Styela clava: one gene and its partners. The protein of the gene in region 3 purifies or fractionates together with the protein of the main gene of each other region. This does not show direct contact. Links are inferred from orthologs where the notes say so. Each region holds a gene or a part of one and is shown on either strand. Other genes may lie near its edges. The genes, in order: stomatin-like protein stl-1, ER membrane protein complex subunit 2-like, prohibitin 1-like and calnexin-like.

Region 1 (7,865 bases), on a different chromosome or scaffold from region 3:
TGGGAGTAGAGCTGCAATCCTCTCTGGGATTGAAACCTGTGAAACTCCCAGGGTAATCAGAGATGCGGTGGCGAGCGTATTCCTAGATGGCGAATTCAATTGAATTCTGGTTATTTTTTGCATGACCACTGGTGTTAAACTTTAGTTATCTATTCAACCTTTCACACTTAGTAATAGATTACCTGCTAATTAGGGAAACCATACCTTATAGCAATTGATTATTAATTCCTTACTGTCTTACACAAGTCAAGTCTGCAACTGCAAGTAGGCCTACTAATAACAGTAGTTTGTCATCTGCTTTCCATTGAAATGAGGGAGCTTGTGAATATTTAAAGAAATTGATAACGGCACACTATCACCACATTATCACTCACCATCAACGAAGTGCTGTCCGCAAACAGTGAAACACATGTAAGATGGCTTCTGGACTTGACACCAAGCAGTTCTGCCAATGCAATAGATGATATCCACATTGCGCGACGCTCCGGATCTTTTGAAATCAGTGGAATATAACTGAAGATCCATTTCGTTGTCTATACTATACGTAGGGCCAACGGAACAATACGAAATAACCATTTTCAACAGCCAAACAAAACGGAAACGTATAATCCGACTTGCAACTGACAGGAGCCAAATGGACGTTTTTGTTTTATTGCCGTCCAGTAACAAAGTCACGTGACCCGTGCGAGTCCTTTATAGGAAGAATTTTTCGGAGGTCGAGGAAAGGTCCCCACCTTTTCATTCAAAATCTGTACGTTTCAAACCTTTCTTGAAATTTTGTTTTGTTTTTATCAATTACTTCATCGTCTATTATGCTGATTAGGGAGTCGAAATAAACTTATACTTATAAATAAACTCATACTTTACTATATAGATCAGTTCACATCAGATGATGCTGGCCTGCATAGAGTTTATCGTGGAAAACTGATCGAAGCTGGCGATAACATGAACAGTCAAACGTCAAATGTAACGGATATTTGATGATGGATTCTATAGAAAAGGACTACTTACACAAAGCACGTGAATTTTGATTACTGAAGTTGGAACGCCAGTGCGTGGAATGCTCTTGTCACATTTTACTCCGTTTGTTGTTGTTTTTCTTTTATGGTGCTCTTATTATTGTTGTATTTTGTCCAATAGACTATTAGTTGAGTGGTTTGTAATCAAATTAATTTTATTACATATTGCGAACCGCTTGATTGTTTGTTGTATTCTACAATTCACGTTATTATCTTGTACAAATATAGCAGAAATTACAATCCATGTTAAAACTCCACATACACACCCAAGTATTTACACGCCCGATTTATCTTTCGTGTCTCTTTTTCTTTAATTTACTTCAATGTGTTGTTTGATTGAGATGGTTGTTTGCTGTTTAGGGTAAGTGGGCACGTGCACCGGCACGTCTTAAATCTTTTTTAGATTTTGCCAACTTTCCTGATTTTCCTTACAATTGTTTGTTTTTCCATGTATTGCTTTGTTGTATTGGAAAATCGAAATAAACTTACCCTTACATAAATACTTCGCGACCCACCTCGTATAGATTCGCGCCCGACTGCTTGTGAAGCACTGCTTTAGCTCACGTATCAACATACATACATTTTCCGAGGGCCTGTAGTTAGTCAGTTTGGTACAAAATAGAATCCGGATTTAAACTTTGAACCCCATTAGGAAAGAACTGACTCTGATTACTTTATGGTCCTATCACCCCCCCCCCTCCCATGAAATCATGCATTTCGAACATTTTTTCGGTGAGAAGTACCCAGAAAATATAATACGATGGGGACAAAGTCCGTGAATTCTCAATGACAAGGAAAAACGATGATTTTGAAAACAACGAACTAGTCAGAAATTTCTTCTAATTTGAAAAATTCACCTATTTAACATGTCAATGTAAATATTCTCACGATTGTACTAATTAGGACACAACTTAAAATTTATTTCCATTCAAATACCATTTAAACTAAATTAACAGAGCCAAAACAATGCTGCACCAGTTTTGAACAACTTTACCATGGGTGGGCAAATGAAAAACATCACACGATACAAAGTCTGTCAAATTGAACTTTGCTGAAATATTATAGACCATCTTGCAAACGAATTATTTTGGGAAAGTTTCATTTACACCACAAATGTAATACCAGCCCTTCTTTTCGTTAATTTCGAAAAAGTCACTAAGAAAGACGGTCGAATTTTACAGGCTAATTTTGTTAGCATCGTCGATTGTTCTCTTCCGCGTTGCGTGATTATTTGGGAAATCAACATCGGCATTATGCAAGTTTTAAATTGATAAGAGGTTACATCCAGTGGTGGGATTCAAATTTTTTGTCAGCCGGTTTCTCCACAAAAGTCATATTTTTCAGTTACCAACCAGTAACTACTGCAAAATAAACAACATACAGCAAGGTCGCAATCAAAATTATGTAACCATGTTATTTAAAAGTAGCAATGTATCTAGGGAGGTGAAAAAAGCTGTTAATATATGCTCTGGGAGATGTCAGTTGCCACTCGCCACTTTACAAAAATCACTAATGCGCATATGCATTAACTGCTATATTATCCGTTTAACCGTCACAATAATATCCGGATATCGGACAACAAAATAACGCTCGGTTAGACGGTTACCCAGTTATCCGGATAATCCAACTCTAGTGGTAAGGTGTCCCGCGGACTGCTACGCCATCGTGACACCATCGACATCTTGCTGAATAGTTAAGTTACTATTTGATGTTACGGCGGTAAACACAGAATTGAGGAAGGGAAAACGTCAAACGACAACGATCACTTAGCGAGGCGAGAAAGATCGTAGGCACATGTTACGGTACCGTAAAACCGGCTAACTTCGGATGATTTCACTATATTTTGAACAATATCTCCGCCGCATGTTGTTCAACTGAAGCCAAATTTGGAATATAATACATTGTGGCTATTCTCGTCTTGATAAAGTCGGTTCCATATCCATCAAAGCCTTTTTTCATTGAAATTATTGTCTTTATTCGTCTATTCTAAAATTATCTAACTTCGGATGGCCACTTTTCTCTTTGCGTCAACTCGTCGTGAGAGAGAAATGTCTGCGTAAGCAATGACGCGTGACAACGTCGCTGAATAGACCTTACGCCGCCACGACCTGTCTTGCGTGTTGAATACTGACGTTTGTACGTGACGTTACTACGTGACGTTACTCTTGCCGCTTCGCGAAGCTTAACTATTTATTCTTGTGTCCATTATTATAACTCGTATATATTTCACTAACTACTCCTAATTTATTGCAAAATGCTAGTTCGTTCTTTTATGATCGTTTATTTTCAATGCAAGAAAAGGATTAACAAAAAAAAAAACGGAAGAATTGAAAGTACCTAACACTGGTGTAGGTTGAAATTGAAATGCAATATTGAACAAGTAAAGAATGAACAAAAATTAGACAATTAAAAATAAACGGATGAATCGAATGAAACACTGGCAAAAGTAAAAATTGAAATCAAAAAGCAATATGGAACAAGTAAGGTATGAACAAAAATTCGACAGTTAAAAATAAACAGATGAATTGAAGGAAACGCTGGCAAAATCAAGAATTGTAATCATTTCCACATGGGTTAGACGGGTCTTTGCAACAGTTCTTGTGGAACCAATGTGTTTCGCTGCAGCTTTCGCAACCGACCCATTCATCCTCAATTTCCGTACTTCCATTTGGATCATTCCATAATCCACAAGCAGAGAAGGTTTCGTCTTGATTATCACTTTTCATATTTTCTGATTTTCTCAGAGCTCCCCGTTGATCGGCTCGGCAGAGGTTCCTGCCCGGTGTGACTTTCGATCCTCGCTTTCGTTTCACTTAATAAAGTCAAATGACAATAAACGGATAAAAACGGCAAAATAAAACTTTGCCACTTTTTTTCATTTTGCGCCTCACCTGTATGTGGTCCAACCTCCTGCTGTGTGCATGTATGTAGAGTTCTACGCTCACCTGTTAAAGATATTATTATCATCTGCCGATCGTAAACAGACATATCTAATCATTATGATCGTATAGATACAGGTTTCAGGCCTAACGTATTACCAATTGCTACGGTATCTATCGGTGTCGGAGGAAGTATGCAAAAACAAAAATCGACAAATTTCATATGCATTAAGCGTATGCATACCCATATTTTTAAATAAACAACATATGACTGAGACGATAGTGATGTTTTTAGTGACTAGGATCATGGATAAGCATAATTTTTAAATTTCACAAAACTGGGCGCCGCGATGTCTGGCGTTCAAATGTCGCAGCGAGTAACGCACGAGCTACGCAAAGTGACGTCGGCTACGAAGAGAGAGAACGGGATTTGCGTCGTTGACGTCACGCTGTACGTAATCATCAAAACGTCGATATTTTGATGTAATTTTTAAATCAAAATAATCGATTTCACTCGAATCTCGTACGACACCTTGTGATCACTGTATTTTTTTGTATACATTGTGTACGCTCTCTAGCGCTTGGCGGTGATTTGACGAAGGTAGCGTCTGTAGAAGTCACGATTTGAGCCGCTCGAAAAAACGGTGTCATTTTTTTGGTAAAATATGATTTTTTGAATGATAAAAAATCAAATCGAGCGATTGGAGGCTACGGCAGATTCAGATATGTAAGGCCTTACTATAGAAACCGACAGAAGCGCAATACGACGAAATTTAGTTGAGATATGAATGATTGAAAATTTCATCCGAAGTTACAAGGCATCCGAAGTTAGCCGGTTTTACGGTACGTAACGGTATGTGTGTACACTGTACGATTTAGTCTTTCTGTCCTTGCTGTAAGGCTGCGGTTGGTCAGTTATGTTAGTACTAAAGTACCCCAACTTTTACCGTATTTTTAAGTAAATCATGCTCCATTTCAGCACCTAGTATTTGCATAGACTATCATGAATGTTTTATATAGAAGAGTATTAAATTCCTGTAGAAGGAGATTACTTAGTCCACCACAGGATTACTTGATTAATACTGAAAAATTCCACAAAGTCGGAAACTTAAAACTTCAACTACCTTTTTATCAACAACATGCTTGTTATTCTCGATTACCTGTCAATACAGTTTTCCTCTTTGTTCCACAACAAGAAGCTTGGATAATAGAAAGAATGGGAAAATTTCTGAAAATCTTACAGCCGGTGAGTTCCATAATGATGGCAAAGAAATTCACTACTTCACAGAATATATCCCATTTTGTATAACAGTAGACAATAAAAAGGAAGCAATCACCATTGAGTTTCTATGGTCTGATGGTAGCACTAGTATTTACCTTTTACTAGTTTATACTAAGATACATAATATTCATGAAAATTATGGATGGCTGAATCAAGCCAAATATCTGAATATTGTCTTGTCCAAAATTGTTTGAGAAGGACTAATCAATAAATATTTTGTAAGGATTCAAGACGTGGGAACTTGGCAATTATCATTATTTTATTGAAAAAACATCCATTTAGGTTATTTAAAATGTGAATTAATTGCAGTGATTATAGGAATTTTTATTTCTTAGAATATAGGGTTTTCAAATCTGAGTTGATTTTAAATGTTGCATTGAATTCATATTTTTATACAGGGTTTGAACATATTAATTCCTGTATTAGACAGAGTTAAATATGTTCAAATTTTAAAAGAACAAGCAATCAAAATTCCGGAACAAAGTGCTGTCACTAAAGGTATATAGTTTTTCATATTTCAATATATGTTTTAACTTGATTTTGTGTATATATCTTTTGGGAAGTGTTTTATAATCTGCTCTGCATCAGTTTTAATTTAAATATATTTCATCATACTTTGTTTCTATTACAGATAATGTTGGGCTGCACATTGATGGAGTGCTTTATGTGAAGGTTGTTGATCCGTATAAATCTAGCTATGGTGTGGAAGACCCAGAATATGCAGTAACACAACTTGCACAAACAACAATGCGATCAGAAATAGGTGCGATATTTTCAAAGCTTCTGGCTAAAAAAATTGAAATCGGCCCAGTGTGTGATTGTAGGTTGTCTAAATAAGTAAAATGGAGCAAAAATAAATTAATGATGTTTTAAAATGATGGTTTATAAATATTCAGATAATGGTATAGAGATTTGTGGATATTTTTGGTTAAAAGTTTTGTAACACCATATGGCCATGTTAAGAAAAAGAAAAATACTTGATATTGAAGTACTGTGAATCAGTATCACATGATAGAGATAAGGAAATCTGAGTTACTTTACTTCTTTGTTAAAATATTCCAGGTAAATTATCATTAGATGGAATATTTCGAGAAAGAGAAATATTAAATACCAATATTGTCATGGCGATTAACAATGCTTCAAAGGATGCATGGGGAATTCAATGTTTACGATATGAAATTAGAGATATACAAGTAAGTGGAGTCAATTTTCTACACTATTAATTAAAAAATGCAGAAAATGGAAGCAAATCATTTGGCATGTGTGAGATAAAGTTGCAAGTTCATCGAAAGTTTTATTTAAGTTCTACTTTCCACAACACCCACAGGTCCCAAAAAGAGTGCAGGAAGCAATGCAGACGCAGGTCGAAGCAGAAAGAAAGAAAAGAGCTGCAGTACTTGAATCTGAAGGGAAAAAAGAGGCTGATATTAATGTTGCACAGGGGAAGCGACAAGCACAAATCCTATCATCAGAAGCTTTTAAAATCGAGCAGATCAATAAAGCTGAAGGTTAAATAAGTCTATAATTGTGAATAATATGTGCACAACTTTTCTAAAACCAATTCAAATTATCTTTATTATATTGGAACTGAAATAGTAACAAATCGAAATGTGAATATATAAGCGAATGCCGAAAAAAGTTCATACTTTTTTGCAGGAAAAAAAATATTTCATAAAATGTTGAATGAATCGAATTTCCTTATCTGCTTTAATTTGCATATGTTTGTTCCAGGTGAAGCCAAAGCCATTATTGCGAAAGCTGAAGCCAGAGCTAGCTCTATTTTGATGGTTGCCGAATCTTTAGCAAATGAAGTGAGTACATTTTTTAAGAAGGCCTTTTAACCTTAATATTGCTTTTCAGGTTATAAATAGTGATTTATTGCTAGCGAGTATACTGCCCCATAAACATTAGCTCTTTTATGATTGATGACTTTTATAATATCTGGGCCATATTTGATTGATCCATATTCCTCAGAATGTCTTGAACAATACTGGAACCCATTTTACTTCCCCAGTTGATTGCTTCCCAATACTGCTACTTTATATATAAGTTCGTATAGTGAATATTTTGTGTTAATGCCTAGCATGGATCAAGTGCTGCTGGACTCACTATAGCAGAGCAATATGTAAATGCATTCGGCAACCTTGCAAAGGAAGGGAACACAATATTACTGCCATCGAATACAGGCGACGTATCAAGTATGGTCACCCAGGTAACAAAAATTCAATATTGTGTAATTAAAAAATATGGGATACTAAAAACTACTACTAAAATACCACATTTTGTCATGGTGGTAATTCAATGTTATGTGGAGTGACTGATTCAATATTGCTTCTCTTTTCGAATCTCACATTAAATATATTTGCAGGCAATGGCTATTTACAAAAATATGCAGTCTGTTCCTAATATAAAACTGAACACCAAGGGACTTCTACAAGATGGTGAAATTCATAATGATGACAAAGTAGTGCAAAATTCAACTACAGACGACAAATGATCCATTGACTTTGATTGATCAAAATTCAACGAAGTTCTGTGGAAACGATTTTGGAGGCATTGTCATTCTTCAATGGATTTAAAGAAAAGTTGCTTCTCTCTAGATACAAACGTGTTTGTATGTACATGCCCGATATGGAGAATAGTTCTCAGGGTATGAATCTGCATACTCGGTACTTGCTAGTTGTA
Region 2 (7,252 bases), on a different chromosome or scaffold from region 3:
CTTGACCAATTTTTAACTGATGCCCAATTTATTTTTAGAAATGACATGTTGAGTACTGAGGTAGGAGCTGATGATTATGACATAGTTTTTAATGAATCTGTCAACCGACTAAGAAATTTAATTGATAAATATGCCCCCTTGAAAAAAGTTAGTAGAAAGGAACGTCGATTGAAGCAAAAACCATGGATTACACCTGGAATATTACGGTCTGCAAAAAAACGAGATAAATTACATAAAACTTTATTTTTAAATGGCACTGATATTGAAAAACGCCAATATAAGAAATATTCCAACACTCTCTCTCATATTAAAAATAGAGCAAAGGAGGAGTACTTTGCAAAATGTTTCGATAAGTATAGAAAAGATTCGAAAATGACATGGAATACCATCAACTCAATCATTAATAAAAAATTAAAAAAAAATCATCCGAACACTCTGCGTGATGAGACTCTTAATAAATCAACTGAAGATCCAGTTGACATTTGTAATGTTTTTAATAATTATTTTTCCCAGATTGGGCCGACGCTTGCCTCAGCTTTTTCAAACAGCAATTACGATTTTATGAAATATTTAAAGCAACCCATTAAATCGTCAATGTATCTAGAGCCCACCACCACCAACGAAATTGAAATGCTTATTTCCACGCTTGCGACTGGTAAAGCAGAAGGTCACGACCGCGTTCCGGTCTATTTGATTAAAATTTTAAAGACCATCATTAGTCCAACCCTGTGTAATCTTTTCAACATCTCCATGACCCTGGGTATTTTCCCCAGGCATTTGAAGGTTGCCAGAGTTGTACCGGTTTACAAATCTGGAAATAAGGAAACCGTGTCAAATTATCGCCCCATCTCGGTACTGTCTTGTCTTTCAATTCTTTATGAGAAAGTATTACTAAAGAGACTGAAATCTTTTTTGGACAAAAACTCAATTCTAAATAGGGACCAATTTGGCTTTAGGGATGGACATTGCACTTCACATGCTATATTAGATATTATCAGCCATTACTATAACGTTATAGATGAAGGCTCATTAGGTTGTAGTGTATTTCTGGATTTGAAAAAAGCATTCGATACAGTGGATCATGATATCTTAATTACAAAACTTAATTACTATGGAATTCGGGGAGTAGCCAATAAATTGTTCAAAAGTTATTTGCAAAATAGACGTCAATTTGTAAGTTTGGTTGGTTGTCAATCGATGAGTGAAAAGGTGTCGGTAGGGGTCCCCCAGGGCTCAGTTCTGGGGCCTACCCTTTTTTTAATTCATGTAAATGATATTGTCAATGCCATTAGGGCTCCAATTAAACTTTTCGCTGATGATACTAGTGCTACTTTCGCTGCAAAAAATCTGTCCGACCTAGAAAATATAGTTAATAGGGATCTCTATTGTATATCAGAATGGCTAATTAAAAACAAGCTAACTGTCAATCCTAGTAAATCCCAAGTCTTATTGATTAATTGTAGCAAAAGCCTTAAAAATTCGAACCTCACTCCAAAATTTATACTAAACGACTCATTACTTAGTATCTGTGACTCTGTCAAATATCTTGGAGTTATTCTAGACAATAAGCTAAACTGGCATAGGCATATTAATCAACTTGCAGGTAGACTGTCCAGAGCCATAGGTGCTATGTCTAAACTGAGACCGTTTGTATCTGAAAAGGTATTAAGAACCGTATATTTTGCTCTATTTTACTCACATCTTCAATATGGAATTGTGGCATGGGGTTCTGCCCCTAAGACTTATATGGATAGGATTAGAATACTTCAAAATCGTGCAGTAAGGTTAATGAGTGGTACTCGTTTTCGTGAGAGAATAAGTCCCAGTTATAAAAAGATGAATATTCTTACAGTAGCTGATGTATATAAATTCGAAATAGCGAAAATCATGTTTCAATTTAAACATGGAATTCTGCCTGAAATTTTCGATAGCTACTTCACAAATTGTAGTAATGTCCACCAATACAACACTCGTTTAGCGGGTAGAGGAGCATATTTTGTTAGTCGGACAAGTTCCAGTCTGGCCCGCGACTCCATTAAAATTACTGGTCCAAGTATTTGGAACTCTATTCCCAATGAAATCATAGATTCGTCTTATAGCTGTTTCAAATATAAGTATATGAAGTATCTCATAAATAAATATTAATATGTGTAGGGATATATTTTGTGTATTTTTTTTTTTTTTGCATCTTAATAACTATTTCACTCACGATTTGCATCTTTATCTTTGCAAATATAATCTATTAAGTCAGCTCTTTTCTATATAGAAATTTAATTTTCCTCCTGATGTGATAGCTATATATAGTACATGAGTTAGCTTGCATGTAACACCAACAGTTTTCATCATAAGCCAAACTATAAACTATTCAGCATTTGTACTTTTTGACATAATATGAGGTTATAGTAGTTACCGTAGGCGTAAACCCTTATATTGTTACCTGATAAAATTTGACTGCTTTTAGCATATGTACTTTTCATAGTTAACTTTCCCAATGATGCTCTTTATTTTCATTACTTGCAAGAATGGAATTACCAAAATGTCAATTTTCATCTCTGCATCACAATTGTTTGTCACTATAATAGTTACTATCATTGTTGTTCAATTCAAATGTTATCAGTTATGTGTGGTATCTATTATTATATTTCGAGATTTTTTGGAACAAAGTTTCCTCTAATTGCTCAATTTTCATTACGGTATATGTTGTGCAGTTGCACTTGTCATAATTGAATAATGTTAAATCTCTTAGCCAAATTGATTGTGCAATTCCAATTACTTTTACCCTGCATTTCAGTCATTCCTGACTATATTCGTATTTTTAGTTGTGTTGTGTAATGGATAAGTTCCACTCCCATAGCTCAAATCACTTGTAATATTTCTTCTCAATACACACAACTTACTGCTCTACATTGTTGCAGGTTTGTGTCAAGGTCCTTTCACCATACCAGTGTTTATTTAATTACTATCATTGCTATTGTTGATCAATGGAATGGTGCTTCTTTCATATATTTTGGTGTATATGATATTGCTATGTGTTGTTGATTAATTAATGTATGTAGTAGTATGTGTACCAGTGGGCGGGTAACTGGTTCTGTTCGCCTGCTTTACATCGGGTTATATGAGGTGACTGAGTCCTGTTTGGAAAGAAACTCATTTGCTCCCAAGCCCTTGTTGGAACTAAGATAAAGAAGGTCTGGATAGGATTTGGGTCTGGCCCAAACATGGTACACATACTGCGGGAGTTCAATTAATATTTTCATGTTTTTGTTATTTACTTTCCTAATACTGTGTATGTATCACTAAGTTGCACTAAAATATTTTCCACATTCTCGTCACATTAAAATTTTGTCCCTGATCCACTGTTTATATATATCCAATTATTTATTATTTCTATTTATTATCGTCTCAAGCCCAATTGAATTTATGAATTTAGTAATTTAGTTTTCAGCTAAATATTAAATTTCCATAGCATTATTCTGGTCGCTTTAGATTAACATAGGACACCCCCCTTCCTTTTTTGTTTTCTTCTATTTTCTTTCTTTTAAAAATACTCATAACAATGCATTTACCCACGAGTCTCCTAATTTTATTCAGAATTTTATTGTAAAAATATTAATGTAATAGTTTAAGTAGTTTTGTCACTGGTCATCTTTCAGTGTTATCTTAATAAAATCAGCATATATGGTGGGAGCTGACTTCGATGACCGTATGGTCGTATCGCTTCCTCCTGTCCATACCAAAAAAAAATTTTTTTTTGCTAGTGCTATTTTACTGATGACTATTTTTTACGTTTTTTGGTTGACGAAATAATAAAATCTCTCTCTCTCTCTCTCTCTCTCTCAACGGGCATACTAATTTGCGTTCGATTTCGGCAAGGCCGACTTTTAAAAAATTCGAGTCTTGCAAACGAAGTCCATTTTACGCAAACGGTAAACGCCAAAAATCTTAAAAAATCATATAGAATCAAATTTTCTACAAAAATTTTTGCGTGATAACCCACCTCTCTCAGAAATCCTATCCTTTCCTAACCCGCTATCCTTGTCTTTGTTCACCGCAAGGATCTATGACAGCGGGTTCGGGTACAGAAACAATGGCGTTACCGATTCTTGCGCAATAAATTGAACATGATAACAATAGAAAAGCTTACTTGATAGAAAATAAATGTGAACAAAGTTAATTTAAACGAGCAGATTTCTCAATTGAGATTCCTTTTTTTGAATAGGAGTTCAGCGAGCCTGATGATTAGTCTCTGCGGGCCGGATTTGTCCGGATACTAATAAGCAAGCCAGTGGCATATGCTGAATCACCGTCGCGGCTCGTCACCAGCCTGGTTTTCTTGCTAAGTTTTGGTTCTCTGCGCGATTGTTTAGCTGGATAATAACTGAATACGGTGTATTGCCTCCTTTTGCTTGGAGTTTGTAACTTTACAATAGTTCTTAGAACAGTAGAATATTCCAGATAATTCATCTTGTCTAGCTAGTGAAATACGATCATAATATCACAATATGGAGGATTTCAATCCTGAAGGTGAGCATCAGGGGATACTGTTACCGGTATATGGAATTTCTAAACTACCAGACTACCGGTACCGGTACCATATTATACTCAAAACCGATTACTGTAGTAACAGCCTCTTACGGTATCTCATTCAGTGTTTTTTCACTTTTATTTTATGTCATGCAGCCATGAGTGGCTTAGGTCTGTACCGGTAGGTTTGTATTTTTATATGAAACAACATTTCGAGTTTTGGAAACTTTCATGAATAGGCTATATCTTTGTGCCATGGAAGAGTTTGGAATAAGTTTTATTTTCTAATGTATTTCTGAATGCTGATTGGTTTTCATCTCTCCTCCAATCATCTTTTCTCAACTTTTTTTTTAAACAACAGCTGCTTGTAAAAGACTTCGTGAAATGAGAGATGAACATGTAAGAGATAGCATAACTATTGTTGAGATTGGCGAAAGATTAATCCGAAAATATTCTCATAGATTCGGAGATGAAATGTGGTTGATTTGTGAACAGGTAATACTGTAATAAATTGTTTTTTTATTAACTTTATAATCTTTTAGGGGTCTCGTGTAGTTTCATACCTCAAGTACTTCTAGTGGACGTAGGTAGCATAACGATTTTTACACATGTAAATCCTATCCCCCCCACCTGAATACATCATCCAAAAATACGATGTCATAAACACGTCATAGCGCTTGCCAAAGTATACCTACGATCGCCCGAAATGGCATCTGCATCGACGATAAAGAACTCACTAACGACAACGATCTCTCTTGTATCGGGATTGTTGCAACGAGAAAACGGAGAGAAATAGCTCGATTTCGGGTGATCGTCTGCGCGTCTTGGATGACACTTCGCATAGTTTGAAGGGCCCTCTTACGTCACTGTGAATTGATGTAATTTTTGGATGACGCACTCAGGGGGGGGTTAGAATTGACATATGCAAAAATATGCTACGCCCACCAGGAGTACTTTAAGAGGTACAAAACTACACCACACCCTTTTTTTGTTAGTTCGTATTTAGTACCAACATTTTTTTTATTTGTTTTAAAGGTATCGGCGTAGCCAAGTTGCAACCAATCAAAAAAGCTTATGATAAACTGCTAGAAGATTGGGTCGTTTATTCCTTAGTGCAAGTAACCTTTTTCTATATTCTAGGTCTTCATAGCAGCATTAGACACATGTCGATACGATTTATCAGATATCTGTCTTAAAAAATTAGAAACGAGATTTCCAGATAGTGACAGAGTAAAAAAATTACTTGGAATACAATTTGAAGCTTATGGAGAGTAAGTTTTTCTTGTTTACTTTTGTAATTAGGGTTCAATATCTGGTGCTGATTTATGTGGTCAATTTGATTCAAATGAAATTTTGGAATATATTTATTTCAAAGCACTGTTTTCATTTTGAGAAACCATCAGTGAACTGTGTTTGGCATCGCGTGACGTATGATGTCCCGGACTCTGGTAAAATCATCAAAGGCTGAGGCCGAATCCAAGTATCAAAATACAAGAGATTGGGCCACAAATCCAGGCACGAGTCTGAATCTTGTCGCATTCCTAATAGCCCATACATCACTGCTTATAGGAATGACTAGTTCATTTGAAAAATGTGATGTTTTTAAGTAATGTCGATCCCAATATAAAATCTACACATGAAATATATTTCTACAGTTATGAAGAAGCATTAACTATATATGAAGAAATAGAAAAAAATGATCCAACAAACGCTGTAAGTTTGAGCTTATTCAATATTTGCTATTGATTTTTTTTTTAGATTGAAATAAGTCCTGAGAAATCACATCATCTCATCGCTTGGTACACATTAATTCATGTAGTCACTTTACTGCGATAACGATTAAAATTTTTACTATCTGTATTAGTCGACAGCAGTGGTTTTCAATCGATGCTATATGGCGTCCTGGAATTCTAATAATATCGTCCAGGTGTTCCATAAGTTTTCATTCATATCCCAGAGTTAATATTTATATATGTATATTGTTCAAATATGTTCTAATACACAGGTATAATTGCACAGGATTTTCTCAACCCTCTATAATGTTTGAGTTCTGGTTCCATCAGAATGGTTGAAAACCATTGTTTAACAGGCTCGACTTATTTAAAATATAAAACCTTTTTTATCAAAGTTGTCAATGACTTCAATTCCTGATGTGGATTTGTTGTTAGCAACTGAAATAAGTTTTATGAATATATTATCATGTTTCCTGGTAAATTTCCAGTTAGTATACATTACAATAATTCCCATTTCAACTTTGTGTATATGCTTTAGATTGGCCAGGCCATCTACAGATTTAAATTAGGAAGATAATGTGGCATGTTATTATATTCCTTGTCAATTATTTTTATTTTCAAACCTCTATAGGCCATCAGGAAACGGAGAACCGCAATATTGAAAGCGCAAGGTAAAACATCAGATGCAATAAAGAGTTTAACGGAATACCTCAAAACGTAAGATTCTTTCATGAGCTTATGTTGTAACTTTGTTTTGAATTTCTTTCACTGAATGTGGAAAAGGTATCCAATAATACACGGAGTGCATTGCTCATGCATTCTCAGTGTTTTTTCGCTAGAACAGATTAGTTCCATGTTAAGTTATTTTATTTATCACTTGAGCAATCAAAAAAGTTCCAACATCTTGGGTAATATGGAAATGACAGGAGTTGTGAAGAACGAATTGCTCCGTCATTGTGTCTACATCACCTTTAGATAAAAATTAATAAAGAAAC
Region 3 (7,728 bases):
ATATACAGCAGACAACAGCAAAAATGGCAGCCATTAATACTTTCCTTACTAGTCTTATCAACCTATTATTAGGTTCGCCACCTTGTCTGGCCTTATTCCGCTTTAACATCGGATATGTTAGAAGTGCAAGCAACGTAAATTGCATGATAACTGTATTAGCAGCCAAAAGGTACCAAGGTATAGCATCAGAAGACACAGAACAACCATTTGGAGGCAGAGGTTTGTAATGTGAATCCCCTTCCACCATAAAGTAAACCAAGTTTGCAAGATAACCCAAAACCAACACTAACAGTATCCACTTGCTTAAAAAACGAGTCGCTTTGTTGCTCAAATGATTCAGCTGGGGGCTGCTGTAAAATATCCTTTGTCGCACCCAGAAACTCATATACACAGTTAAGTAAACTAAAAATCCCACAAATATCTTTGGTTTTTTCAAATGCAAACATGCCATTTCGGAGCTCCGGCCCCATATTGTGTCCAGGTTAAGCAGTACACGGACTGCCGTAATAACTGCAGATAAAATAGTTAATGTGTTCAAAGCCATGGAATATAGGGCACCACTCTTTTTTGAAAAGAAATAGGAATTCCGGGTCGCCGTACCACGCTTGCGTATATGGTAGACAATAAAACAAAACACCACGTAGCAGTTAAGAAACAGCAATGTATATGAAAAAATTTCACTCAAAACCCACTGAAGGTGTAGTTCATGAGAAAATACTGCATGCGGAGCAGATGACGTTATATTACTAACGTAGTTAATGTCATTACCAGAAGTATTTCCCATTTGTTCTCCGTAGTTCGATCCACTTTTGATATTGAATTCGCCAACATCCAAAAACCTGTTACTTGTAAATTTCGGTACATATGTTACAGCATCATGCGATGTAGTATCCTCTTCAAAATATGATGGGGCTACAGAGAAAATAGTCAATTATACATAAACCAGTATTAGCACTTCATAGGATTGGAACTATTTTGAAATATAGCCTGAATTAGTTAAATCAGTCGTAATATATCAGGAATGAAATGAACAAGTGGGCTTAAAATCGATTATTGTCTACCTGGTCCTCTCGTCCAGGCAACAGAGGTTCAAATTTTCAAGATTTGGTTGAACAAAGGTTTGTTAACTTGGCAGAGATAATCAATCAGGAGACTTAATGAATTTAAACGTCAGAAACCCTAGTCTTTTGGTAAAGTCAGTATAAAATAATGCTTTTATATTTTGGTATGGTCAATACTTCTCGAAATGAGAATCGCCCAGCCACCACATCTCCTGCATGCTAATTTTTGATGTGAACTAAGAACGAGTAAGACGCTGTTCTGAATTTACGAGGTATTTATACTACAATAGTAATTAAATAGGTCTTCAAAAAATTTTATTTTTGAATGGTTGTTTTTAAAGTGCAAAGTAGTCGTAATAATTTAACTTTTTTAAGTTCAAATTCAATTTTACAAAAGAAGTAGAGGAAGAAGCATATTGTCTTGCAATATTTTTCAGACACATTTTTTATGATACCATAAAGATACAAATCTCTAATTTTATTTATTTGAAACTGCAGTCAACAATTTATCTCTGTCACGTATTATGACGTTACATATATTAATATTGTAAAGATCATTCCCATACTTGTAGTAATGTCTGCATAGTCAAAGTCGTGTTTGTGGTCACTTCCGAACCCGTTGTAGTCATAATAGTTATTTTCCATTATCCCCTAAAAAGGAAGCATACAAATGCAATTCAATATAATTTGCACCGAACTTAACATTTCGAAATAAATATGGCCTCAAAAATCGGAATGATAAACGGAAGGGAGCAAACAGAATTTTCTTTATATTAAATAAATGCTCTAATTTAAACTTTTTTTTATATAAAACTTTGATCTAGTCCTGCGCTAAATGATGCATATATATTTAAATCAGCATCAATCCCACCCTGTGGTAGAATAAAATTATTTTCGATTATTATCATTCAAACACAATAAGCTCACCGAAGTCTATGATAATCGAATAATAATAGTCATTTGACGTCGACTTGCACAAAAACCCTAAATTCTAGAAAATTAAGCTCTGGAAATTGGAAAGTGAATTAAATAATATATCATAATACCTAGTACGTTTTTTTTTTTCAGGTACTGACTGAACCTCGTCACAATTTTTTTGAAAAGACCATATATATTTTTATGCGTGGGCTATTACGCCTAATGTCCATATTGCACATGTAAAATAGCCTACACTGTTATACTTTAAAAGCATGCTATAAACTATCCATTCACCAAAAGATTTGTATATAGTGGTTGTACATTATCGCATTAAGATATACTATCACAACCTATAAACACTTTGAGATATGCCTGACAGAATAATTTCTACTACCTCATAACCATTATTCCAGTAATTTCGTCCTGCAATCAAATCTGTCTCTAACCGCACGTTATGGATAGTGCATAACCAGCACCAGCATTTGATGCAAACTGAAAAAATTATGTCAATGAGTTTCAATATAATACTGATTCATCTGTTTATATTGAGACAATTAGATCAACAATAAGTGATGTGACAAGTGTTTCGGTTTTGCAGTTTAGTTATTTTTTATTGCATTACAAAGCCAAGCATGTATCAAATTATTAATGCCTTTATGAGTCAAAACATTTCTTGTCAATTAAATACAACATACATATACAGTATATGAATTTGAATGAAGCAGCTATTTACGAAAATTTTGAAATAAGCAATATGTAAAATTGTAATATGTAAAATTGGAAAGTACCCGAACAATGATGAATATATATAGCATAATATATAAATATGACGAAGAACCAAGCGAAACCATGTAAGGCAGCAGAGGAAATCGAACAACCATAAAAGGCGCGAATGATGCTAACACTAATTGTTAAGCATTTTTCGGCATTTCGAAAACGTCGAACGATATGAAAAAATTAATGAAAGAGTACATTATTGAGCGAGCATTTAGAGAGATTCCGAAGCGATTCGAATCAACACGAATCGAAGCAATTTCAGGGAAGACGACTTGATTCTATTAAAAAGAATATCTATCGATTCAGACAACACGAGGCGATTGCATAACGCAGCGACGTTGTCACAAGATCGATTAAAGGCGTATTTTCGTTTATTTTCCGTGTGCTGGTTACAGATCTTCCCGATTCGTAACAATCCTTGGGTTGTTATATTTGATATGGGTCTAAACTAAAGCAATAGTTTAGCCCAATTTTGTTTGACTACTTAAAATGCTATGAAATTTTACAAGTTATACAATGTGATGTGCTCTTCGTAATCATTACTCCTTTCGAAATCATGGCGCAAACGGTATCGGAACACTAGCGTTTCTTATTCAGATGATTTTTGAAGGTTAAATTTAGAAGAAAACGAACACTATACGTCCGGAATATTTTGCATACAAAAGTTTATGTAATAAAAACAAATATGTAACTAAGTATGTAACTAAGTAAGCTCTATGTAACGAAAACAAATTTTTCCAGCCCTAATATATATATTTCATTCATTCATTAAATTTTTTTCTACTAACATTATTCAATTTCTAGTTCAATAATATTATTCAAGCAGAATTAATACTGTAGCTATTCTAAATTTAAAGAGAGTTAACGGTAAACTGATGGTATATTAAATATTCGAATCGGAACATTCTGATTCGATTCGAAAATAAGATATTCGAAACTTGTATCCCCAATCGCAACCACAAAAGCTGAGGCAATATATTCATTCATTCATATTCATTGGCGTTTTCATTTTATTTTCGAAACTAGAGTCAAGTTATTCCGATCAGCATGATTGATTTACCAGGTTTCATACGCACTCTGCTGTTCATTGTAGTTCGAAAAGTTTTTTTTTCGCCAACTTGATTTTTGGACGCGAAGTGTACATATGAATCGTTTTGTTATTAATTATGTTGTTGTGGTTGCTCTTGTTGATTTCCTTGTTAGGATTTTTATTGTTATGAAAAAATCGCTTTTCTTGTTACTTACTGAACTAATTGCTTACAAATTTTCAGCACCTAAAGACTGTAGTTTGCACTAGAAGGTAATTACTTTTATTAAATTCAAAAAATTCTGTGAGCTCTATGAGATTTGTTTTTGTGTGCTATGACGTCACCACAATTAAAAATTGCGCACCTCGTAGCGCTAGTATACTGTGACAGATTGCACACCCGCACTTTGTTGTTTTAGCCTTTTTATTTCCATATATTTGAGCAACACTCTCTTGTATTTAATTGTGTCATTTTTATTTTTTTCGAGAATATACGTTATTGTTTTTGTTGTAAACGTCATCGTAAATGTAAAATACCATATTGTTTTTAAGGCACTGCTTAAACCTAGGAATGTCATATCATTATTGAGTTTAGCTAAAACACTAATAAAAGAATAACAGTTGTGCGTAGGAATAGCTGAATGACGTTGATACCCTTGAAACATTCGCCCGACGGGCGCATACAAGGAACAAATTGAATTCGTTCAAAATATTCAGGTGGCTTGAGTAGAACAACATGTAGGGCGCGTGAATTTATTAATTACTGGTGATATAATATGCCAAAAACAAATTTCTATTCAATTATTTACATAAAAAATGGCACACGGAAGAAATAAAAAAACATTGAGATAGAAACCGGATTTGAAGCTCATGTATGACTCTGCAACCACCGCAATTTTTCCGATCTGCACCAATGCGATTCACACGTGATCTGGTGCAATCGCATTGTCGAATACCTCAACTTTTTCAAGTTATTGCTGATTTCTGACTCGACTAGACATTTAGAAGATGGAGGTTTTGTTTTCAAGGCTTGCGAAATTTGGTGTTGGTCTCGCTGTAGCTGGAAGCGTTGTGAACTCGGCTCTTTATAATGGTGGGTATGTTGATTGTTACATGCAGGCCTATGACTGTATCTGTATGACAGCGTGAAAAGGTACTGGTACATTATGAAGAATTTTTGAAACGTTGATTGAAAGTTTTTATCTCACAGTTGTAAAACTGAATTAGACTTTTGAGTCATGATGAAAAAAGCTGACTAGTTAGACTACTGGAACAGGAAATTTCTCTTGTCATATCCCTGTATCCTGTTTTTTCTATAATTTAATAACATATGTGAATTCATCTATATTTTCAGTTGATGCTGGATGCAGAGCAGTTATATTTGATAGATTTTCGGGTGTGAAAGAGACTGTGACAGGAGAGGGAACACACTTTCTTATTCCAGTCATTCAAAAACCTATTATTTTTGATATAAAAGCCAGACCAAGAAATATACCGGTGGTGACAGGTTCAAAAGGTATCATATAAAATTAATTCATTTTATCTTTGACTGAGAGAAACTTGAATTTCAATCAAAAATCTTTCATTTCATAATTTGGTTAGATTACATCATCAAAATCTGGGTCTGCAAATCTTATGCATTCTACAACATGACAATTCTCATTTCCAGGTTCTTTTATATAGCATCCATGTTCTGTTCTAGATCAAATTTACCAGATAATAATTATAATCAATACTTTTATCATTTTCATTTATTTTTCAGATTTACAAAATGTCAATATCACATTGCGTATTTTATTTCGTCCAAAGCCATCAATGTTGCCGAATATATTCACAACCGTCGGTGAAGATTATGACGAAAGAATTTTACCTTCAATCACAAATGAAGTTTTAAAGGCAGTAGTTGCTAGATTTGATGCCAGCGAGCTTATTACGCAGAGAGAAATCGTTTCACGACAGGTATGGTGTATTTGATTACCATTTGCAATTTTCTATAGTCGCCTTTGAAGAGTAGGAAGTTCAGTTACCCTGGTTTGGTCTAATAATATATTTGTACTTTCAGCCATTGACTTCCAAATCGTCGTATAAATCGCCATGTTACTTTGTGATTGTTAAAATTATACCACTACACAGTCTTTTTAAATTTGGAACTGATATTTTTACATTGTAGGACTGTATATGCCTCTCATTGTTAACTTTGACTATGCAAATAATACTCTATTGAAAATGTTTATAATGAAATAGTTTGAAAAAGGAAAGTGAACTGATTCAAATACCAATGCATATGGCCTTTGTAAACGCTTTTATTAAATGATAGTTTTAAATAAGCCAAAAAATTCAATTCAAGTTACAGATATTAACAAGTAAAGTTCATCCACTTAAAAGATATTATATCCTGTAGCTTGTTTTGCGGTGGTATAGTTATGTTTGCTTCTATTATAGTAATAACTAACTACACATAAATTATCAGGTCAGTGAAGATCTCGCTGAGAGGGCTGATGCATTCGGTATGATTCTTGATGATGTATCACTGACACATTTAACCTTCGGAAGAGAATTTACACACGCTGTCGAAGCAAAACAAGTCGCCCAGCAAGAAGCAGAACGAGCTAGATTTGTTGTGGAAAAGGTTTGAATTATATTTGGTAGATTAGCGCTTTGTCTCTTTTCGGGTATTTTAGATATTTTTATGTTTTTCTGTATTTAGGCTGAGCAACAGAAAATGGCTGCTGTTACAACGGCAGAAGGAGATGCCAAAGCTGCTCAACTTATCGCCAAAGCAATTGGTATGTTCATTATTTTATTTGCACTAGCTACTTCTGTTAGTGCAAACCCGTTATATGCATTGATGATTGTCGAATCACATAGCTCGGCAGTATGAATAGCTTACATTACAATCACTTAGTGCAGAGCGGGCAGTACACAGGATCACTTCGACTGGCAGCCAATTATCTAGATTCTTTTCATTTGAGTCGGTCATCAGTAGAGCTCGACCAATATCGATATATCGGCCAACTAGCGGCCGATAATCGATATTAATATAAATCATGTTGTGACCCACAAAATGGGCTTTTATGATGTACCTCGTGAGTCTGTAGTTTATTTTAATATTTATTTATTATACGGCTGATATTTTGCATAACCATGTTTCCAGAGTTATAAAGGGAGATCCCATGGTTAGGTGAACTGGTCGAAATATAATTAGTGTTTTGAAAACTGTTGAATGCTGAGAGTTAAAAATTGCACAGACTCTCAATATCTCATTCAGTTGATTAAAATGGATTCATTTATTTTTGTATAACTCTCACTAAAATGATGGCAACCAAGAAATTCAAAATTGCATTCAGGGAGGTCACAAATTTGGAACCAGTTTGATGACATTATTATATGATAACCGTATTGTTATTGTACAACAGCCATTGAAATGCATAAGTGCAATTATTTTTCATGGTAATAGATGAATAAAACAAGTCCCATTGAAAGAAGGTATTGCTATTAAAAGGACCCCAATCAATTTAGTCTTAATTACCTGTACCATGTTTCTGTGATTACTAACTCAACATCTCCAAATCGATTCTATTTATAGAACTAGCGCTTCTTTCAATAAAAAAATTGCCTTTTTCTCTTTGTGTACTCTCTCAAAACGTGATTTTAAATGTTACTCCGGATAATAACTTTTCAATCATCATCATGCATGAAAAGGCTAATCATATGTCACTGGGTATTAGGAGAGACACCTTTTTAATACAAAATGAAAGCAGAGAAAGATTGGGAAAACAGTTAGGAAGAGGCGAGAGTCGTTGAAGCACACAGCCCGACTAATGCGGATGTATATATCGGCAGTTTACCTTTATTCTTTTGTAGCCCACTTCTGTCGCCCATCAACGGTGGTCTAGTATGACTTTATGTAATGGTTTGTCTAGTCATCAGTACGACCTCAAAGAC
Region 4 (7,689 bases), on a different chromosome or scaffold from region 3:
CAAAATTTGACTTAGACAGACATTAAGATACAGACATTTGGATGGGATGGACAGAAATTCGAAAATATTCATTTTGCTACCAAAATCTTTTGTGTATGCACATTTTTCCTTAAATTATCAACACCTGAAATTCCACATCACTATTCTAAAGAATCAAAAATTATGACTCCTGTGATTTTGAAACCATCAATTTGACTAAGAGTTCTATTCAAACAAATTTGCTTTTCTTGGAGTTCAAGACTAGAGTCCAACTCTAAAATCTATGCCATTGTTGAATGGCTTGGAATAAAGTGTGATTTTTACACGACTCCACATTTTGCCAAAATGTTCGATTTCTCTGTACAGACATCTAGAATTCAAATCCATATTCAATTTAAAACAGAACTACGTCAACAAGAAAATTTACCTTATAATCTTCCCCGCATTTGTCTGGCCCAAACATAATTGTGTACGGTGTTTTATCGTTGAAAGTTTTCTGAAAATGTAAAATAGTTGGTTTGTTGAAAATGCTTTTACGATATTGATAGAAAAGAGAATTGACGTTTTATTGATAAAAACTTACTAAGGTAACATCTTCAGTTTTTGAAAGGAGTTTTACATAGCCACCACCACATTCGATTCCATTTTGGAAATTGACTTCATACTGCATGACAAATGGTTCTCCATCAAATTCATATGGCTTTGACAGGTCGACAGAAATTGCATGATGTCTAAAATAAAGACATATTATATTTATAATTTATAAAGATCTGTTGCATCACAAAAATTAAAAGGTACTCACGTAGTATGTGTACCAAGTTAGGGATAGGCCATAATTTGATACTGATTTTTCCTATTTTAGTTCTATTACGAGTCGGGGACTGTCTGTGTTAGTCGAGTGAATATAACCCCAGCCCATAGGTTTCAGTCCCTTTACACAACTTGATGTAAAGTAGGTTACTTACATCAGTAGTAGTTACTTCCATATTGGTTTATATACTTTTGGAGCACCTATTAATATATATTTTATTGTTTTATACAACAGCATAATAAATTGAGTAAACAATAAGGAACAAGAAAGATCTCAGACTTTCAAAAAAATGTCATTGAATATCAGTGGATGCCTACATGGCCTTGTACAGAGGGAAAAGCCCGAATAAGTGTTGTATACAATACTGAACAATGATGCATTCCAACAGTAATTACAGCAAACACAAACGTATATACAAACAATGCTGATGTATACAGTTTAGATCCAAACCGGTTACAGATAGACTGACAAATGAGTCATTTCAGGATATTGCATTAGAATAACCATATCATAAGTCAGATGTCAACTGCGAACTGTTTAAAAACGGATGGGTTTCAAATTGAATTGAGACAGGAACAGTAACTCCTCTTCAAAATTTAAAAATATACAGGAATGCAAAAATGACATTGCAAATGAAATGCCACTAAAAATAATGGCGCTCCAGAAGTATGCTTACCAATATAGAAGTAACTAGTTATGTTCGCCTACTTTACATCAAGTTATGTAAAGGGACGGAAGCCTACGGGCAGGGGGTATATTCAATTGGATAACACAAACAGTCCCCGAACCTGGTACACTTATTACAAGAGTACCAAAATACTAACCTCGCTTTATCTTTCAAAACTAATCCCAAATCGCCATCTAACAGTGGTGTAATGGGTTGAACAACTTCCCAACGACCATTATATTTTGATATTTCTTCATCAACACCATCTTTTTTTGCTTCAGAAATTTTCCAACTAAAACACAATAAAAATTAAAATAATATTATATGCATTACAAAAAAATTCAAATTTTGTTGGAAGCTCAAGCAAAGCACGAAAATGAAAAGCCATAAAAACAAACTAAAAGTAATTATTTGTTATATCATAATGGCAATAAATAACCAGTATTTAGAATAAGATTTTTTATACTAAAACTGGAGGCAAGAAAAGGTGCCTCTCATCTGGTTACAAGTCTAGGTGTGGGAATCCCTTGGTAACAGTTGAACATCGGGTCAAAGGTTCAATACACAACTATACGAAGGTTGTTAATGGCAGAACACCATTCATTGAATTCCAGTATTGTATGTCCCTTGCTTCCCTTTGCCAAATGACGTTCAGTGTCGTGAATTCGCAATGATACATGCATGGCCAATAAGTACAGAAGTATTTCATGAGTTGAATATTATGTTACCAATTTTATATGCCCTAATTCAAACTTCCACTACTGGTAATTGCCAACCCCTGCTTCGTAGTCAGCAGCAACAACAAGGCGTTCTTTGCACTCGGCTCATATAAGAGTGAAGTTGTAACCAGACTGTGATTATATAACAGTAAGATGGGACCTCCACAACCCATTGCAATTAATTTAGCATTACAATTACGATGTTTCTTATGCTAAGTACGGATGAAAATCAAGATAAAAATTAATTAACAACCATTCAATAAATATTCAAATTGAAATTACTGCATTTATCATACCCATTAATAGAATCTGCTTTATCGAAAGGTTCTGCAAAGTTGACGTGGCCTTTGGGAACCGGTTTCTCATATTTTGTTATCTGGAACAAAAATAGTTCGTATTAACGAATAATATACAGAACAAAATAAAGAATTCTTTTAATATGATGGTGCTGTAAAATGCTGTTACGATTATTATCCATCAGTCCATAGATTCAAAGCATTTATAGATTATAAAAAATAACAATTTGGATTACAATAAAACAATAAAAAGGGCAAATTGCAGTCTAGTTACTATAGGAAGAATTTCTGGAGGTCAAAGGTTGAGGAAATACCCCTTAAAATTCTACAATATGAAGAATCTTACTGTGGATTCTGGTTCTTCAACTGCTTCTTCAACAACTACTTCTGCCTCATCATCATCCTCGGCCATGTTCAAGCCGAATCCAGAGAACAAAATTAAAAGAAATACTAATCCAAATTTAATGACAACCATTTTTAATCCTGGGTTATTGACTCATGTGGAATTACTAAATATTATTAAATATTACTTCAAAATAAAAAAGAAAATCAGTAAATAAATTAATAATATCTGATAGTTGAAGCCCTAAAGTTTTACTATAGCTCACATAATTCAATTACAGAATTACAGTTTTAATTTTGAATTCGGGAATTGGGGTTAACAAAATTATCCGAATGATTTCAATATTTAAAAAACTCTCAAATCGCGAATTACAGAATTATATATATCATTTCTTGTACATTTCAGAGCAGCAAATTCTGCTTATACTACAGAATTACAATAGCCAAGCAGAAAAGAGCGAGATTTGGAAATAAATATCAATTCTAATTGGCAGATCCAGTGCAAAATTGAGAAATCATACCCCTACCAGTACGGTGCATAAATGCTGAAATGAACACTGTGGTACCCACTTTCATCTGCTCATGTAATGATATCAAACGACTATGCATACCAACGCTCTCAGACTCTATTACTGGAATGAAAAGAATTTGGTAATCAGCTAGCAGGCCAGGGTTTCCACTTGCTTCTAAAGTTCTAGATGCCATTGCTCCAAGTCCATGCTTCCGAAAACAAATAACTAACTAATCCCATACCTGCATACCCAACGTGGAATGCCGGAATGGTAACCGGACAAGAGTTCGCCAGCCTTCTTATCGGCTTTCCTATCCCCGGGATAAATAGTTAAATCCTATCCTAAACCTGTCAACCGATTGATCAACTACCGTAATCTAATTCTGTAATTCAAAACGGTAAATTCAAAATTAATGAACTTAAAATTTACATCCCAACATCTCTTCTTTAGAACCTCTATCTCAGTATCTACCCTAATATCGATTAACAGAAATGGGCCAAATAATGCCATCGCGTTGTACATAGCCTAAACCGTGAATTCATTCCAAAGCAGTAGCTCAACAAAAATCGAAAGTTTTCTTATTTCAGTAGTGCAGTACCGGTAGTAGAATTTAGCTGTTGGTCGTTGGGTTTCTCCAACTTATTCCATGATTTCACCAGGGACCAGCTATTACGTTAAATAAAATACAGGCCTAAAACTTGTTTACTGCTCATGACATGGTCGTGAATAACTAATAAAATGTATATTCTATCATTTTATACTTATGTAATACAGTAATATCTGGCAATATGAATTGAAAATCCCTATCACGCGAAACACGCTTCCTCACTATTCATGCGAGACCAAGCACGTGATAGTGTTTGTTTAATTTATTCCTCGATGCGTGGTGATCTGTGAGTGGTCGATGTCCGATTTAAATTTACACGGCGTGACATGGATAGTATGCGTAATTCTTGCGCCATTTGTTAGCTCAAGACATTAAAATGTTGACATAAATCACATTGACGACTACCTGCTGTTAAATCCCTTCCACGCAGATAAGAATTACTAAATAAAACTACGCGAAACAGAGCGTACGGTGTCTGGCGACAAGTTTACGATAGATAGGGATTTAACTCAGCCGTGGCACAAAATACGGTAATACTTACAATGCAACAATCACATACGGCGGAAATTCGCCATGATTTCGAATCAGGTGAGAATAATGGTATGTGCAATCTCACCCTGTGACGTAGAATATAAATTATGAAACTCAATGCGATAATGCCTAACCTGATTTTGATACAACAGAACTCCGGTCATTTGGAACAAAAGCTACAGAAAATATAACTCTCGTGCAAAGCGCCCTATTTTACTGAGATTTCTGGGTACAAACCATACTTTTCTACATGAATAGTAGTGTTAACATCGTATTACACAAATGTATGTAAAAATCAGACGTCGAGAACTTGTTTTCCCATTATAAATATGATAATTCATAGAATAAGATTTCTATTTTTACCTGTTGGGGATGATGGATAGGGACCGTCTATCGCAATCTGTAATCGGTCTTCATAACCCCAAAGATAGCTCAAAATTAATATCAAAAGTTTGCAAAATTGATGAATTTATTGGCACATTCGAAAGTAAAAAAGTTAATACTGCTTACAAATAAGACTTCAGTTGTGCAAACTGCAATACGTAAATGAAAATTTCATACTTGTTCTACAATTATAACATGATAAAGAATATTTGGAATGGATCCTAATAGGCAATATGCTGATATTGAAACAATATAAACAGAGCAGTGATTAAGGTGAAATCAGTATATGGCAACAATAAACTAACAGATAGTGTTATACCAAACCCCAAAAAATTTTAAAAAAGTTTCAACTTAAGAATAACTTCAACTTTCAATGATTTTTGCAGTGACATCAACGAAATTTAACTCTAAATTCCAATTACGACTAAACAACACTGATCATTTAAAAAATGCCTACACTTGTTATAATTGTGTATTTGATTATATAGTAATACCCACTAGCACCTTTACAGAAAATGTATTAAATTTCATAGTTTTGATTGATAGTTGGCAGTGGAATTTTTATCTTCAAAAAAATAAAAAATTTCCTATTGAAGAAATATTGAGAAGTCACAGTTCATCATCAACTTTCTCTCCTATGATGCCTTCAAACTGTGGAGTCGGAAATTCCAGCTCTTTTTCTTGTAGAAAACCATCTTCATCTTTATCCATCACCTTGAATAGATTTTCAATCGTTTTTTCCTTCTCAGCACCAGGAAGAAGTTTGCCGTTACCAGCGTCAACTTCTTTAACAATGTATGACATCAACTGCAGGAAGTATATCGAAAGATAAGTTTTACTGGAGAAAGGGAAGTTGTGTAGAACCAAAACTGGCTATGGCGCACTGATACCCAGAGTTCGAAATCCAATATCTAATCGAAAAAGATTGGGAATTTTAGTTACCCAACAATTGTCGGCGAGTATTGTATGCTTTTTTGGTAAACCAAGATTTTTAATACATTTTCATTTCATCACTCCCAAATATGTCAAGCATCCACTAATATGTAAAATTTACTGTTTTTGGTGAAACGAACATTTTTCCAGTTCGGCATTACCAGGCTTATTACACCCCCAGGTGAGATGGTGGGCATGGCATTTCAACCCAAGATTTCAAACCTGCGATGTCAGCATAGTTAAGTCTATTGCATTGTGTCTAGATTACGTAAGTACTGAACTTCAAAAATCAAAAATGATATTTATTGTTACATAAAATGTTTTCATTGTGTACCTCATCAATAGAAACTTTTCCATTGGCATCATCATCAATCAACGAGAAAAGATTCTCAGGTTCAGATTTGCCTTCCTTCCACATGAATAACATTCCGTTAGGTAGAGAGTCTTCAATTTTATGCAGTTCCACAGTATATACCAGAACAGCACTACCAGGTATACCATCTGAATGAAACAAATTTGATAAAAGATTGAAAAACAAAATTATTTAATGAATAAAAACAGATTTGGGGGGACTCGAGTTCGACTTGAGTAGGACCAGAGTCACAATTTATTGAACACTCAATGGAATGACTTGGAATCAATATCGAATAACCACCAGTGAGACACAACAGAGGAATTGACTCAAATTTGGACTCGACTTGAGATTCAGATTACCCTCGACTCAATGTGCAGGGGTCTTTATTCGACGCTCCAAAAGTTTGTGTTACTAATTTTGTTCGCATACTTTACATCACGCTGTGTAAAGATGTGAAAGCCTATGGGCAGGGGGTATTTTCATTTGGCTAACACAGATATTCCCCGAACTCGTAATAGAACTAAAATAAGAAAAATCGGAATAAAATTATGGCCTACCCTAACAAACTACGGGAGTACCCTATATCCAATATTCACAAACTTAAAACAGGGAGATTTATGTTTGAAATCAAAACCTCCGCTGTATAACTCTACCTGCACCAGGTTCTCCAAAACCGAGATGAGGTGGTACAACTCCTTTTCTGATCTCCCCTACACACATTCCTGTTAGCATATTTTGAAGACCAAGTATGACTCGACCTCTTCCGTTGTACGTTGCCCAAGTCCCTTCTCTGTTCTTACTGTAAATAAGAAACTATATTAGATAATTACCTAACATGACAAATGACCCAACAGGCCAATCCCAAACTTCCAACTTTTTCCAATGCGGATAAGAGCGTTTGTCCATTGTTTTATAGACATAGAAATAGCATAAAAGATACCAGTGCTATGTTGAGATTGTCCAGAACATATAATGAAAGTTTTAAGCGAAGCTCAGTAATGAAATATTCTTTGCCACAAAAGAATCACTTAGCGATATCAAACACGCCTTGATTTTATATTCTTTTAGGTATACGAATTTCCTATTGTCGACTTGTCCGTAAAACTGAGTTCCTTTATTAGTAAAGTATGAATTGACATGAATATTCAGTTTTAAATGCCAAGGTTTGACATAACAATCTAAGATATTTGATGACCATAAGCAGAAAGCGCTATCATATAAAAGTCACTTAAGCCTGCCTGCTACATCTGTGACGATATGGATTTTTGATGAAATGTACTGGAATCTGTGGTGTAGCAGTCATTGACAGGCCCATTGAAACATATGTCTGCGTGAAGTCACACATAGATAAACTATTTTATGAGTTGTTTAAACGTAGAAGTTTGGGTATCTGTGATGGACTATATAGTTATTTTCGCAAATTAGTCAGCTGGGTACATGAAAGATTGTATACTGTACAACTGTTTCAGGGGACCTTCGTCGAACCCCAGAAACAGCTTCAATGAGGGGTTCGATCAAACCCAGGTTAAGAAAGAGTGAGTGTGGCAGAGGAA

The links.
Region 1: the proteins of prohibitin 1-like (region 3) and stomatin-like protein stl-1 purify together in Homo sapiens (affinity purification with western blotting; 3 studies listed by BioGRID, with this or other methods). This does not show direct contact. The link is inferred for Styela clava from reciprocal best matches to the Homo sapiens genes PHB1 and STOML2.
Region 2: the proteins of prohibitin 1-like (region 3) and ER membrane protein complex subunit 2-like purify together in Homo sapiens (affinity purification with mass spectrometry; 3 studies listed by BioGRID and IntAct, with this or other methods). This does not show direct contact. The link is inferred for Styela clava from reciprocal best matches to the Homo sapiens genes PHB1 and EMC2.
Region 4: the proteins of prohibitin 1-like (region 3) and calnexin-like purify together in Homo sapiens (affinity purification with mass spectrometry; 3 studies listed by BioGRID and IntAct, with this or other methods). This does not show direct contact. The link is inferred for Styela clava from reciprocal best matches to the Homo sapiens genes PHB1 and CANX.

What each region holds. Positions count from the first base shown.
Region 1 is NC_135257.1:11,813,820-11,821,684, forward strand, and holds the start of stomatin-like protein stl-1, read left to right. Parts: upstream 1-4,849; 5' UTR 4,850-4,901; coding exon 4,902-5,144; intron 5,145-5,578; coding exon 5,579-5,678; intron 5,679-5,811; coding exon 5,812-5,943; intron 5,944-6,242; coding exon 6,243-6,373; intron 6,374-6,507; coding exon 6,508-6,688; intron 6,689-6,911; coding exon 6,912-6,991; intron 6,992-7,263; coding exon 7,264-7,392; intron 7,393-7,548; coding exon 7,549-7,677; 3' UTR 7,678-7,865. Other genes in the region: uncharacterized protein LOC144425789, read right to left, coding at 3,566-3,831, 3,911-4,007. UniProt on the Homo sapiens protein: Mitochondrial protein that probably regulates the biogenesis and the activity of mitochondria.
Region 2 is NC_135255.1:16,047,306-16,054,557, forward strand, and holds the start of ER membrane protein complex subunit 2-like, read left to right. Parts: upstream 1-4,251; 5' UTR 4,252-4,502; coding exon 4,503-4,524; intron 4,525-4,885; coding exon 4,886-5,019; intron 5,020-5,664; coding exon 5,665-5,795; intron 5,796-6,179; coding exon 6,180-6,237; intron 6,238-6,888; coding exon 6,889-6,974; intron 6,975-7,252. UniProt on the Homo sapiens protein: Part of the endoplasmic reticulum membrane protein complex (EMC) that enables the energy-independent insertion into endoplasmic reticulum membranes of newly synthesized membrane proteins.
Region 3 is NC_135261.1:10,477,075-10,484,802, reverse strand, and holds the start of prohibitin 1-like, read left to right. Parts: upstream 1-4,708; 5' UTR 4,709-4,791; coding exon 4,792-4,876; intron 4,877-5,137; coding exon 5,138-5,299; intron 5,300-5,545; coding exon 5,546-5,742; intron 5,743-6,253; coding exon 6,254-6,412; intron 6,413-6,490; coding exon 6,491-6,569; intron 6,570-7,728. Other genes in the region: uncharacterized protein LOC120330096, read right to left, coding at 1-912, 1,628-1,706.
Region 4 is NC_135250.1:5,735,848-5,743,536, reverse strand, and holds the start of calnexin-like, read right to left. Parts: upstream 3,015-7,689; 5' UTR 2,948-3,014; coding exon 2,819-2,947; intron 2,553-2,818; coding exon 2,473-2,552; intron 1,750-2,472; coding exon 1,615-1,749; intron 711-1,614; coding exon 563-710; intron 476-562; coding exon 407-475; intron 1-406. Other genes in the region: peptidyl-prolyl cis-trans isomerase FKBP9-like, read right to left, coding at 5,458-5,655, 6,116-6,282, 6,790-6,935. UniProt on the Homo sapiens protein: Calcium-binding protein that interacts with newly synthesized monoglucosylated glycoproteins in the endoplasmic reticulum. It may act in assisting protein assembly and/or in the retention within the ER of unassembled protein subunits.